Oreochromis niloticus: one gene and its partner. The protein of the gene in region 2 purifies or fractionates together with the protein of the main gene of each other region. This does not show direct contact. Links are inferred from orthologs where the notes say so. Each region holds a gene or a part of one and is shown on either strand. Other genes may lie near its edges.

What was found. The genes of interacting proteins can lie anywhere in the genome.
Region 1: the proteins of hdac6 (region 2) and dbt purify together in Homo sapiens (affinity purification with mass spectrometry; 3 studies listed by BioGRID and IntAct, with this or other methods). This does not show direct contact. The link is inferred for Oreochromis niloticus from reciprocal best matches to the Homo sapiens genes HDAC6 and DBT.

What each region holds. Positions count from the first base shown.
Region 1 is NC_031986.2:35,936,749-35,944,010, reverse strand, and holds the start of dbt (lipoamide acyltransferase component of branched-chain alpha-keto acid dehydrogenase complex, mitochondrial), read right to left. Parts: upstream 3,067-7,262; 5' UTR 2,976-3,066; coding exon 2,928-2,975; intron 1,926-2,927; coding exon 1,796-1,925; intron 1,580-1,795; coding exon 1,504-1,579; intron 859-1,503; coding exon 677-858; intron 601-676; coding exon 473-600; intron 389-472; coding exon 136-388; intron 41-135; coding exon 1-40. Other genes in the region: tubgcp5 (gamma-tubulin complex component 5), read right to left, coding at 4,745-4,791, 5,370-5,470, 5,643-5,725, 6,100-6,225, 6,983-7,134, 7,214-7,262. UniProt on the Homo sapiens protein: The branched-chain alpha-keto dehydrogenase complex catalyzes the overall conversion of alpha-keto acids to acyl-CoA and CO(2).
Region 2 is NC_031984.2:4,905,960-4,913,043, reverse strand, and holds the start of hdac6 (histone deacetylase 6), read left to right. Parts: upstream 1-4,008; 5' UTR 4,009-4,062; coding exon 4,063-4,140; intron 4,141-5,266; coding exon 5,267-5,359; intron 5,360-6,870; coding exon 6,871-6,999; intron 7,000-7,084. Other genes in the region: cxxc1a (CXXC-type zinc finger protein 1a), read left to right, coding at 1-137, 229-339, 815-864, 946-1,042, 1,808-1,960, 2,052-2,198.

The DNA of each region.
Region 1 (7,262 bases), on a different chromosome or scaffold from region 2:
AGCGCCACAGTCATCGTCTTCACCATCGCTTTCTGGAAACCTGAAGAGCCAATCAGAATGTTTAGAGAGAAAGGAGATGACATGCAAGTCTCGCAGTGAACAGCGCAACACTTAGGCTTGACAGCAATCTCTGACCTTTGAGGGGCTCCGTCACGTCCTTGCCAGTGAAGACAGGTTTAGGAGTAGCGGGTGGAGGTTTCACAGCCACCTTAGTGCTCACAGGCTTGGCAGCAGCAGGAGCAGCAGCAGGGGCCGGGGGCGGAGTCTGGATCTCCTGGAAAGGTGTCGGAGGCAAGATGGCTCCAGTTTGCTTTGCCAGGAAGTTCAGGATGTCCTCCTTCAGGATCCGCCCATCTCTGCCAGTCCCCACCACCTCACTGAGCTTTATCTGAGGACAAAGCGACACCTCAACTGGGAACACAGTGGGACAGACTGGGACAACCCGGTGCGGACAAATAGGAATCACACTTACATTGTTCTCCATGGCGAGGCGTCTGACTGCAGGCGTGGCCTGCGTCTTGTGACCTTTGATCTCCTGGTGGGTGTGTTCTTCTCGAGCCATGGCGGGCGTCTCCACCACGTCCTCCTCCTGGATCACCTCTGAAGGATAACAGCAGTGAGACTTTCAGCCGTGAACTTGGACGGGTGGACGAGTGAAGACCTGCTGATGCCTCACCTGAGCCAGACTCCGTCTCGATATCCACCAGCGGTTTTCCCACAAAGGCCGTGGCATCTGCATCGTAGTAGAGCTTTTTGATGACCCCATCGTAGCGGCTGGTAATGGTGACCGATGCCTTGTCGCTCTGAACCTCACAGATGCTGTCAAACTGAGAAACTTTGTCTCCTTCCTTCACGTACCTGCCAGAGGAATCCAGATTTATTTATGCAGTGGCAAATCACAAGAACAGAATACGCACAAGGACATATCCTAGTCAAAAATGACTCCAAGGTTCCTCAAAGTGTTATTGGAGGCCATATTTCTAAGATTTTCTGTCCCAAGTACAATAACCTCAGTTTTATCTGAATTTAGAAAATTAGAGGTCATCCAGGGCTTTAGGACTTCCTGACATTCCTGCAGTTTAACTAATTGGTGTGTGTTATCTGGCCTGATGGATAGATAAACTTGGGTGTCCTCTGCATAGCAGTGAAAATGGATGCTATGCCTTCTGATGATACTACCTAAGGGAAGCATGTATAATGTAAACAGAACTGGTCCTAGCACTGAACCCTGTTGAACTCCATATTTAACTTTAGTGTGTGAAGAGGACTCTCCATTTACATGAACAAACTGGAGTGTAACGAGTTAACAGGCCATCCTTCATTACAGGTTACAGGTGTTACATCCTAATCGTTTCATATGTTCACCTGTTTGTTCTTTTACAAACTCTGGGGTTTCAGGTTTGCTTCATTTTAAAAACAAAATAATACCAAAATTTTGTCATGACAATAAAAAACGGAGCTGTTGGACTCTTTTTTTTCTTTTTTTTTGTCTTGGTCACGTACCACTCCTTGACGGTCACCTCCATGATTCCCTCACCGATGTCAGACAGTTTGAACTGCACGATAGGTCCTTGATTCACTGCCGGACAAAACAAAACAGTGACACGATCACAGAGAAACAGAACAATCTGCTGATGGAGGTCAGCGTACACCACCATGAGTGATCTGCCTCAATTCTCCCAGAGTCCATCAAACAGCTGAAAACCCAGAACAGTTCACCATGATACAGATCTCCATGGCAATAGCAGAGAGATCAGAGGAGGCCAGGATTCAGGTGCTGCCGGTCTGGACTTACCCACAGCGACATGCAGCCCTCTGCAGCTGAACACCTGGAGCTTCCTGTCACACCTGAAGGTCATTGGCTGCAGAGTCCTGTCACATCTGAAGCTCTGCAGCCGGAAACATCTGCGGCTCTGCTGACTCAGCTGACGGGAAAAGAGCAGATAACAGAGGTCACCTGGACCAGCCAACACACAGGTGCTTCTAAGCCACGCCCCCTGATATTCAGGGCCTGATGGTTCTTCCTTCAGGTCCTGAATGTCAGACCAGGACCAGCACTCCGAAACTCAAACATGAAGACTAGCTCACAACTCCTTCAGCTTCTAATAAAGATGCATACGGACATTCTTTAAACAAGGTGGTGATGTAACCCTAACAGAGAAGAAATGCCAGCCAATAAAAACATCACACACGCCTCTGACACTGTGGCACCAGATCTATGTTTCCTCATCTGCATGTAAACGAGGAAACCGAGTGCATTTACACTGATTTATGCCAAGTCACTGAAGATTACGCTAAGCCTGACTTTGACACTTTCAGGAAGTGGGGGATGATGGGAAATGGCCTTCAGGTTGTCACTCGCTGACAGAAACTCTGCTCAGGTGTTTTTCTTATTGCAGGTTTCCTCTGAATATCTCGAAGCTGTCTCACTCCCATGTCACTTCTCACTAAATAAAACAGAAAGTTCGCTTTAAAATTTATACACATCATTGGAGGACCACCTGTCAATCACGTCGTTTCCGTCGTTTGAAACCACATCTGCTCCTGAGGTCTGGAACAAACACCTGTCCTGGCGGCAGCAGGTGAAGCAAGTTTCACCTGCAGGACAAGCTCTGAATATTACTGAGCTCAGATCTGGGTCAGAACCAGAACCCGCACACTGCCGGTTCTGGTTCTGACTCAGACCCTGACCCGGAAACAGCTGCTGACCATCAGGAAGCACTCGCAGCTGTTAGCTGTTAGCCAAAGCATGCTAACTCAGAGGCTGTTTCATTCCATTAGGGTTAGCATCAGCTAGCCCATTGGCTAGCTATGCTAACGCACTGAGCTTGGTGACGTTGCGGAGACTCTCCGTTAGCATTAGCCGCAGGTTAGCATTAAGCGCTTTCAGAGCCTGTGACGAGAACACGAAGCCTGTATTTGCTCACCAGTAGCCGCCTGAACGCGCCGAGAGAGCCTCTGGTCACCGCCGCCATCTCTACGCTCCGCTGCACGCCCCTCTCTGCAGCCAATCAGCGCGCAGCGCCGGCCTCTCTTCTTCTGCTGCTTCCCGCAGGGCTCGCAGACGTCACACAGGTGTGATGGCGCCACGATCAGGAGAGCTAATGAACAACAAACTGATTCATTAAACTTTTCCTGGTTTTTACAGCCTTAGACGTTCCACGGTTTTTATCCATTATTAATAATAAAAATGATTTGTTGTTTATTTAAAGACAGGTCAGCATCATGACATCAGCAAGCTGCCGTTTGTGCACCTGTCCAGATAAGGTAAGATAAGATAAGACTTTATTGATCCCATGGCGGGGAAATTTGTGCGTTACCACAGCTCAGGTACAGATAGTAGAAGAATACAAAGAGTATACCAGAATATAAAGTCAACAAATACAAAATAAATAAGATAATACAATATATACAATGGTAGCTGAGGTTCTATGTACACACATACCCAGAATATGTTATTGATACAAGTTGTGGAAATATGCAAGAAATACATTAAAAACTATTCTACTACTACTACTATTACTATGTGAGTAAAAGATATCTATAAGTATCTATAAGTATAGACATGTACATACACACACACGTACAAATACACATACACCATAATCACTAATGCAGAGTGTCATCACATTAATCAGATTTCATCTCTACAGGGTCATCAGTTTCTACAGTTAGAACCATAAGAATGTGCAGTTGAGCAGTTAGCTGCACACAAGTCCTTACAGCTACAAACAGGGGACTGTAGAATCAAACCTGAAGGGCTCAGCCCTCAGTCATAGTGTCATGCATACGCTGCCCTGCAATTAACATTACTGGAATATGCTGCTTACAAAAATATTCACCTCTTTTTTCAGCTCAATTACATTTTCATGGAGGTTAGAAAAAGGAGGAAGTTTTTGAATGCACCTCACTCTCCTTAAAAAATAAAGGTGGCTTGTGGCTGAGCAGTAGCATCATGGTTTTGTGTTGCTGTTGCATTTTCATTTCTTTGTACAGCGCTTTGTGCCTTTATGTCTATAAACTTGAATTACGACACCTGTGTGTGGGTTTTCCTGTTAGTGGTGCAGTAATGCCAGCTGTTTGTGACGTTCGGGGCTGGATTACTGTGAACAACCTCTGTGTGCAGAGCCTCCTTGCTGAAGGCCTCAGTCTCGCTGTGTGCTGTTATTTTGGTCATATGGTGCATTTGATTTGACAAATATTTTACACTACACGCTCTTCCTGAGGCAACCCTCCCCGTTCTTCTGCTCCAACAGCAGCAGCTTCTGAGAACTCCTCAGTTTATACGTGCAGTCAACAATTAATTTATTATCAATGTGTGGCAGAGGTGTGGTCCTTGGCTCAGCTGCAGGGGATGGGTGATGCAGGGAGGTTGGAGGGACAGGTGGACATGATTAAACTAATGGGGTTCCTCCCTTCGTATAGTGAGGGTGGAGACCGAAGTGGGACAGTATGCAGACAGCTGACGATTGTGTGTGTGCCGAACCAGGACGCTGTACATGAGTGCAAAATCAATTAAAAAACCCAGTGTGTCGGGTCATGGTCCTTTACACAACGTAAAGTGAATAACAGAGTCAAATGTCACCATGTATTGTCAAGTCATTTTTATTCTGCCTCGTCACAGACGTTATTAATATTAAAATACAAGCATTCATGTTTGAAATTTGCGGAGAAGCAGCAGGCCGGTCTGAGTCCATCTCAGCAGACAATGACATCATCACAGAGCGTGCTCGTGTCCAGCTCGTCAGCACTGCTCGAATCCCGCCATCAGAGAGAGCGCCAGAGACTCCACTGCACAACAAGAGAGACAGACGTCATCAGCTCCTCTCTGCTCACAGCATACAACAAGACGAGGTTAACTGGACAGCTACGGTGGCCAAGAGGTCCCAAACACATATTTCATTTACTGGAAAGGTTTTTCAATCATTCAGTCCTGTGTGCTGACAGGATGACCAGCACAAACATCCTATTTCTCATTTATTACTTTCATTTCCTGTTAAATTGACCTAGAAGGATCAGACTGCAGGAGACTTGTGGTTCCTGAGTCTGAGATGATGCAGGTGTCAACAACCGAAGGTCGGCTTTTATTGGCCCTTGGAAAACTTCGACCACACACGCCTGAGCCCTCGTAACGACATTTTCAGCCTGAAAATGTCGTGCGGATATCTCGTGCACTTATGAAGTCGATCCCCTCTAAACTGCGGACACACTCTGTTTGGAGGAAACACCGAGCACTGCAGCTGGATCCCGACAGCCTCGAAGCACCAACCGATTTTACATTTAAGCTTTTCCAAGTTGGATGTTCTGCACCTTTGGACCACCGTACACAATCACTGCGTTTGACATCATCACCCAGACGACAGACTCACAGTGAGGGAAGGAGCCCCGGCACACCGCCTTATTGAGGATCGTCACAAGGAACATGTGGCAGTTTTTGAAATCAGACTCCATTTTATCGATGGACTCTATCCTGAAAGAGAAACAACATTTAGCTGCAGAGCAGGTGTGTCGTCTCTGTACCTGGATGCGTGTACACACACACACACACACACACACACACACACACACACACACACACACACACACGCAGCGTGCACCACGAATGTCACATCAACACCACTGAATAGACACATCACTCTTACTTCCAGGCTCCAGCCTGCCATCTGTCCGAGAAGATGAGGACGAGATTCAGAACCTTTATTATCGCCTCCTTCACAAAACTGACCTGAGAAAACACAACATGTAGAAACAGGTGAGTCTGAGCAGGGAGCCAAAGTGAGATTCGGCCTACTGAAGGTTCTGGCCCCGCCCACAGTACAGTGTTTTACAAGTTTTTCTGGAAACATAAAGAATCACTGTCTTATAAGATCCAATTTATTTACTTGCCCGCCATCACACAGTACAGTAAGGTCAGTGTACAAGCAGCGGTGCTGATGGTGCAGCAACATTTCTTTGTGCTAAAGCAGGAAAACTGAGAAACGCCTCAGGCTGGTCATTGCGTTCGTAAAAGAACGAACGCTTTTTCATCATCTCAAACAAACAGCAACCGTCTTTACAGCTGATTGTGTCAGCGGTCAGACCGCCATCATAAATGTTCACCTTCTCCCTTAGCAGGCAACGGTCGTGAATCGTGGCCAGGTATCTGTAATGGATCTTGATGAGCTGGTCCAAGTCCTTGGCTTCCTGCACTTGGTGTTGAAACTCGAGTCCAGTGCTGTGCAGAATCTGCCAAGACACAAAGCAGATGAAGAGCCAGAGTTAGTCAAACTGAGAGTGCAGTGAGGACTCTTTTTATTAAAGGGGGTCGTTTAAAGAAGTGATTTTATTATGTAACCCTAGAAGTAAATATGACAGGAAGAGTTATCAGGCTGCCCGCTCACTGTCACGTGATCAGCGCTCGCTGTGCCAAGCTGCTGATCTTCCCTACCGAGCAGCGTCCTGATGGTGTTCATTATAAAAACGTTTGCTGGCACTACTATGTCGACAGCAGCGCTCGAGGGGTAAATGTGAGTGATGTCCTCCCTTATTTATGCTGCAATAGGTGTATGCTACTGGGGGATTCCAATGATGCACTGGGTGCTTCTTCTTCACTCACTATCTATTAATAGACCTCGCTGAACTGAATCATACTTGTTATTAATCTCTGGCTCTCTTCCACAACGTGTTTTATCCTGTCTTCCTTCTCTCACTCAACCGGTAGTGGCAGATGGCCGCCCCTCCCCGAGCCTGGCTCACCTGGAGGTTTCTTCCTGTTAAAAGGGAATTTTTCCTTCCCACTGTCACCAAAGCACTTGGTCATAGGGGGTCATATGATTGTTGGGTTTTTCTCTGTATATTTGATTGTAGGGTCTACCTTACAATATAAAGCGCCTTGTGGTGACTGCTGTTGTGATTTGGTGCTGTGCAAATAAAAATGAAGTGAATTGAATGTCATGGATGCGACATCCTGTTTGCAGGAGGTCAGTTTGGTGGTTTGCCTCACCCTCGTCATGATGTAGTTGTGAAGGCTGTTGACAAAGTGCATCAGTTTGACCCTGAGCAGACACATCCTGTGGATCTGCTGGTTCACGCGCTCTTTGACCTTGACCTCCTCGGCTGCGGCGCCCTCCAGCTTCTTAGTGACGTCTGTAAAACCTACGAGTAACAACCATTTATCAGAGAAATGACTAAGACGGGCTTATTTTCAGTTTACAGCTTCAGGTGGAGCTTGTACCGCTGAATCGAAGCGTGTCCAGACTGTACTTGGCCCATTTGATCTGCAG
Region 2 (7,084 bases):
GACGCAGACAGCTGGAGCGGATCAGGAAAGAGCAGCAGGCGGCGAGGATGCGTCTCACGATGATGGAGAAACGCTTCCATGAGCTAGAAGGCATCATCGCCAACGCCAAACTTCAGCAAGTCCAGCAGCACGAGGAGGTATGTGGCAACCGCAGCCACCCAGTGCACTCCGCTGTTAGTGTGATCAGCTGTTAGTTGGTCTCATCTGCGTCTCTGTTTGTCTCTGCAGGTGACTGAGGGTGACGGTGACGACACAGACTTTCAGATCTTCTGTGTTTCCTGCAGTCACCCCGTCAATCCAAAGGTGGCTCTGCGTCATATGGAGCGATGCTACGCTAAGGTTAGCTTAAAGAAACAGGAAGTGTGTCCACCTGGGGTCTGAACTGGTTATGAATTACAACTGCCTTAATGAGGTGATCAAACAGGAAGGTACTAACAGCAATGTGGCAACAAAGGCCACAATAAGCCAGTGAAATGACCTTTAGCAAATTCACCCAATGCTGCTGTTCAAATCTTCTGTTTAAAAGAGCTACTCTTCTGGAGTTTAATAATAAATGAGGATAATAAGTTCTCCCTAAAAGATTATTGATGTAACCTAGCACCCCTGAGGTCCTCCTGATTTAACAACATTGGTCTGAGTCTGCACATTAAGTCAGAATATTAGCAGGCATATGGTGGTTATGGCACAACAACTAGTTTTACATCCCCTAACATGACAGTCAGCTGTTCTGAGGTAAAATGTGGGTAATGTAGTCATCAACTTGATTTAAAAGGAAGACTGTTTAATCTGATCTTTCTGTTTCTTTGTCCGACAGTATGAGAGTCAAACATCGTTTGGTTCCATGTATCCAACACGCATAGAGGGGTAAGACCGTGCATCTGTCCGTCCCTCCTGTCTTTACCCGTCTCTCTGTTTGTGTCTCATCTCTCTCTCTGTGTCTCTCAGAGCCACCAGGTTATTCTGCGATGTCTACAATCCTCAAAGTAAGACGTACTGTAAGCGGCTGCAGGTTTTATGTCCTGAACACTCCAGAGATCCAAAGGTTTGTTTATGTCTACAGAAAACAACTTATGACTCGATCAAGGCTTTAATTCGCTGCTTTTTTCCTCGCTTGCTTAAACTCAATGGAGAACTTTTTATTTTTATTTTAGCAAATGTCTGTCGGGCTCTAAAATATTATGTTGGTGTGCTCTTACAAAACTTATCAGCTGTGGATATTTAAAAAATGTTTCTGTTCACGTTAACTTACTGTCTCAAGTCTTTAAAGGACTTAACATCAGAATTTGGATGATACATAAGTTTTAATGTGGCATGTGGTCCTGAGTCTGGACTCAGAGTCCGGAGAAGGGTACAAAGTCAGGACTAGCTGGTCCTGGACTCTGGTCCTGACTTTGGGCTCAGAGACTCAGAGTCAGGCAGTCAGGCCTGACTGTTTCCAGACTCTGGAGTCTTTGGTCCTGACTCTGGAAACAGTCAGGCAGAGTCTGGATCTGACTCTGGACTAGCTGATCCTGACTGGATCGTTGGTCCTGACTGGACTAGCTGGTCCTAACTCTGGGCTAGGTGGTCCTGACTCTTGTTCTGGCTCTGGACTGGCTGGTTCTGATTCTGAACTGGCTGATCCTGACTCTTGCTCTGAGTGCAGGATCAGCTAGTCCTGACTCTTGTTCTGACTCTGGACTCACCGGTCCTGACTACGCTAGCTGATCCTGACTCTGGACTAGCTGATCCCGAGTCTGGTCCTGGCTCTGGACTCAAAGTCAGGCAGACATTTTCCTGACTCTTTGTTATTGACTCCCTGTTGCAGGTCCCAGCAGACGAGGTGTGCGGATGTCCTCTGGTCAAAGACGTGTTTGAGCCCACCGGCGAGTTCTGTCGGGTGTCTAAGAGGAAGTGCAACAAGCATTACTGCTGGGAGAAACTTCGCCGCGCCGAAGTCGACCTGGAGAGAGTCCGAGTGGTATCTCTATTCATACAAACTTTATTTAGTGCCTCGTCATTAACATTAAGACACACCTGGATGTTTCTAACTCTCTCTTTGTCTCTGTCAGTGGTATAAACTGGACGAGCTGTTCGAGCAGGAGAGGAATCTGAGGACCGCCATGACCAACCGAGCCGGTTTATTGGCTCTGATGTTGCACCAGACCATCCAGCATGACCCAATCACCACCGACCTGCGCTCTGCCAAGGACAGGTAGACAGGTGACGTCAGGCAGACGTTTTCCTGGATGAGTTTAATGCTCGTTTGCAATTTTATTGTGGAAATTTGTGGGAAGGTGAGTCAGAGCAACGTTTCATTCACCAGTGAACAAAAAACAAGAGAGATTTGATTCTGACTCCAGCCTCATTCAAACTCAGACCTCATCTGATTTTAGGAAGTCAAACCGTTTTTATATTTCATATTCACACTACTAATGTAGGAAACCTGAGCTCTTACAATCCATGGATGAACACTCAAATAAACCTTCTGCTTAGGTAACACTGCAATGTCTGCTGGATCTCAGCTTAGCTTTGTGGGCAGTTGTATCCTCACTGTTAGTTTTAATAAGTTGGGGATGACTGGACACACAAATATGATCACATTTGATCCTGAATGAGCCATAATGTCTAAAGAGGTGCTCATGTGTCCTCCTCCTACTGGAAAGCTGCTCTCATTCAGTTTAACCTACAAGTATTACACTACCCACATCCGACCAATCTGAAATGTGACTGTGCTTTGGAAATGTCTTAAGGTTGATGATGAAACACTACATGTTCACTAAAGATGCACACATTTTATAAATCTCGAAGTCATCTTGTTACAAGTCATTCCTCCTTGTTTCTTTTTACAATGTGAGCCTGTTGCAGTTTAAATAAAAATTGTGTAAATATCAGTTTAAACTTTCCCCCATGGGATCATCAAAAAAAAGTAAGCATAGAAGAAAAAAAAATGCTAGCCATAAAAAGATGGATTCTGTGACTTGATTGACTCTTGCTTCAGTCTAAGTGAATAAACAGTCAATGGGGTAAGCATAGGGAAATTACTTTTAAGCACAAAGAGCTGAAGTCAAGTGAAATTAATTAAATAAATAAATAAAATGAAATGTCCTGATAAAGAACTCTTGTTTGTATATTGATGAAAGTCAAACTTTTCTGTGTGACATTAATTTCCCTCTGAGAGGAAACCCTTCATTTCGATCTCAGTGTCTCCTTTTTTATATCTGTTTTTATCCTCAGTGTTATCAGTATGTTGTTATTTGTTAAAAATGTTTCAATAAAGTTTGATATCTCATTATTTGTGCTGATTCTGAGCTTTTCTGTTCTTCGAGTGAATGCCAGTGCTGCACCAATTTACTTTAAACTGCACCACAACAATAAACTGGCTACCCAACATGCTTTTTTTAATAGACCAGTAAAATTTCATACATGCAACATAAAGCAGAGAATTCATGAGAAAGATATGAAATCTAGAATTGATTGTAATTAAATTCAGTTTTATTTTATTTTATGTTATTAGGCAGAAGGAAAAAAAACTATACATCATTGTCATTTTTAGTGTGAATAAACGGCCATAGTATAATATTAGGAAAGACATAGTATTATTATTAAAATTAAACAGCAAAAAGGAAAAAAAAATTGTAAAACAACAGAACAAAAACCCAACCATAATAATACAACCTACATTTTGAAGACGCTATTTGTTTTAAGCACATATGACTCTATAAAGATTAAGAGAAAAGCTCGCGACATCGATCTCTAACGTTTTTTAGTTTTAAATTATTAAAAAAGTCCCGGCGCGCGCCACACCCCTGGCTACGCTGCTCGGTGACGTCAAACGCCTCCGACGGTAGCGGTGTACGGTTGGCGCTCAGCGGCTCGGAAACAAACAGTACACTTCCTGGTCGTCCCGGTTCCGGAGGCTGCAGCGGGTCTTCAGACGGATTTTGACCTGGTTTCAGGGTGTGGATGTTTTCGGCTGACTGTGAGTCCCAGTTTATCCGCTCAGTCTGGGTGTTTCATACTAAGAACAAGCTAGCAGGAGGCTAACAGTCTCTGCTGCTTCACTATTTACACCGAGAGAGGATGACCCCGGTCCCGGTCCTGGCCACGATCATGATCTTAGAAAAAGCATTTATGCATCAACGTGAAACTGAGCTGAAGGTGTGACAGATATATTAAAATATATTAAATAATTAAAATAATTAAATAATAATTAAATAATTCTAAACAAATATGAAAAACAAGAAACATAGTTCAGTTCAACTATATATGCATCCATAACTTACAGTAGTAGTCATTTTTTTAAGGTCAACAATAATAACAGAGAGAAACCAATGAATGAATTGATCAGGACTTGGCGACAGTAGGAAGAAGAAAAGCTACTCTGAAATCAGAAGATACCACTGCGCAGGCTGAAGGGATGAGAAGAGCTTAGAGAGACAAAAACCTGCATAAACAGAAGCAGACTGGTATCTTTTTCAAAGAATGTCTAGGAAGACATTCTTTGAAAATAACACAATCACTCCTGGAGAAGGAGATGATGCTTGAGGAATGGAGAAGAAGTGTACTGGTACAGATTTTCTAGAGCAAGGGTGATGTGCAGAGCTGAGTAACTACAGATAGATAAAGTTGATGAGTGTGAGAATAAAGATATGGGAAAGAGCTGTTGAAGTTAGGTTAAGGAGCAGCAGTATGGATCATGCTGAGAAAGAGCTTGGCAGATGTGATGTTTGCTTTGAGAGTGTTGATAGAGAAGTATAGAGAAAATCAGAAGGAGCTTCACTGTGTCTTCGTGGATCTAGAGAAAGTTTATTACATGGTACCCAGAGAGGAAGTCAGGAGTAGTGGGGAAGCATGTGAGGGTGGCGTGACAGTGATGGGTTCAAGGTGAGAGTGGGATTACATCAGGGATCAGCTCTGAGCCCCTTCTTGTTTGCAATTATGGTGAAAACAGTTTTAAGTAATCAGAAAAGTGGCCGGCTTATAAAGCTGGTCTCCTGAGTTCCCAGATGTTTACAGAGTGTAGTTTAAAAAAAAAAAAAAAAAAAAAAAAGGTGACGAAACTCTTCAGTCTCAAATTCAAAGTGAGCAGAGAGATTTAAGTAAACAAAAAGTCTTCTCAGTTTCAGCATACTTGGTTCTGTGCTATTTGAGGTTAATTAAAGGATTTAATTAGTTTGGATTCTCATTCACACATTACACAGTCGTGACTCCTCTGTAACGAGGCTTGTTGTGGCTCGCAGGTGTGAAGGTTCTTCTTCATGTGTCTTTGTTATTTTTGATTCAGGTCGATCTGCGTGGATCAGTGATGCAGTCGGGGTCAGATCCTCCAGGACATGGACCGAAGCCAGTTAGAAGATCTCCTCGTCTGTCCCCTCAGGTCAGTCATCCGACACAGTGATACACCTGGTTTTAACCTTCACCTCCTTTTAAACCTTTTTGCCGCTCAGCCATAAAAGGCTGACGGGGTGTTGTCATCACCCTGCCAGGTGGACGCACAATGTGGATACTCAAGTTTGTGAATGCGATAACTCGAGAATGAAGGAGCTTCAAATTGATGCCATGTGTATATCTACAAAAAATCTCAGACAAGTTTGAATCTTTGTGACCTCGACCACATAGTCAAGGTCAGAGGTCAAGTTTACTCAAAATCCTATGGACGCGATAACTTGAAAACAAGGTGACATACAGTAGGATTTTGTAATTGATGCCGTAGGTGCATCTACTAGGAGGCTGAGAGGTAGCATTGGTTGCTACCATTATTCATTTTCAATATTAGATTAGTCATTTACTCTGCAGTCACTCTTTGCGGATTCCTAGTTAGCAAAAAGTGATCAACATGCCGTATGCCGCATGTCTGAGAGCGGCCAGCCTGGGTTCAAATCCAACCTGCCCTTTGCAGCACGTCTCCCCCTCTCTTTTTCCCTCTGCTTTCCTGTTAGTCTTCACTGTATCTGCCCAATAAAGCCAGAAAAAGGTAGAAAAATATATATTAAAAAAAAAAAAAAGTAATCTACAACAAAGTAAGCAAACTTTATAGTTTGATCAGTATGGCCTTTAGTATGTAGATCGGGGGTTGTATTAAAAGTGTGAAGGTTTGTTAGTTGCAGCTTTAACTTGACTGGGTTATTTTAGTGACTTAAATGAGTGAGTTTGGATCTATTCATGTCTAACACCTATACTGTTTTCTCTGTCTGTGGCAGATATTATAAAATGTTCTCATGTCAGTGACTGATTTTCAGTCATTTTAATGCAGAAAGGATTTTAAAAAATGTATGAACAAAATTGCATTTATTGAGACAATCCTCATCTGTCACTCCTCATAAAACACATTTTATTTGTTTCAATAATGCTAAAATGAAGAGAAAGAATAATATTGTAACAGTTACAGTCAGTAGATTAGACAGGCGACCCTCCTTTCTCCATACGGAGCTAGAAATGAGTAGTATAGTTCCTCTTTAGGGTTAAAGTGATAAGCTCGATTTAACTCGTTTTTATCAGTGTTACTATTTATAATGTGTTAAAGTTTACAGGTTGGCTTTAGCTGAGTTCGAATTATTGACGAGTAAAAGTGGGCGAGGCAATCATTCATTTATCTGAGGTGAACTTTTATCTCAGATTGTCGTGCCTCTCCTTCGATTCTGCACTCAGTTTCATGTGAACACCTGAGTGTTTGGATCTGTTGTCAGTCTGCTTTCGTAACACCAGACAGAAACAGCCGACCCTTTTATTTTCTTCTTCTTCAGCTTTTCCTCTTTTAGTTATTTGAACTCTTCTTCTTCTGTTTCTTTGCGTCACGTTGGAGCGCTTGTGATTTAACCCTACAGCGTATCAATTTGCTTCAGTCGCAGCAGAGAGGTGGGCTTCAGCTGCTCCTGTTTATGTTTGCAGGTCGGCAGCAGTGAGGGAACACAGGAGAGCAAAGGAGGAAACAGCCTGCAGGAGCTGAAGAGGAGAGGAAGGATGGAGAGGACCAGAGAGGAGCAAGAAGAGGAGCTGAGTGGCAAATTGAAGACACTGGTGAGATTTGCACTCTGTTTAATATTTGAAAAGGTTAGCATGCACCTTGGATCTGCAGTGTTTGGAACAGAGGTGAGATCTCTGT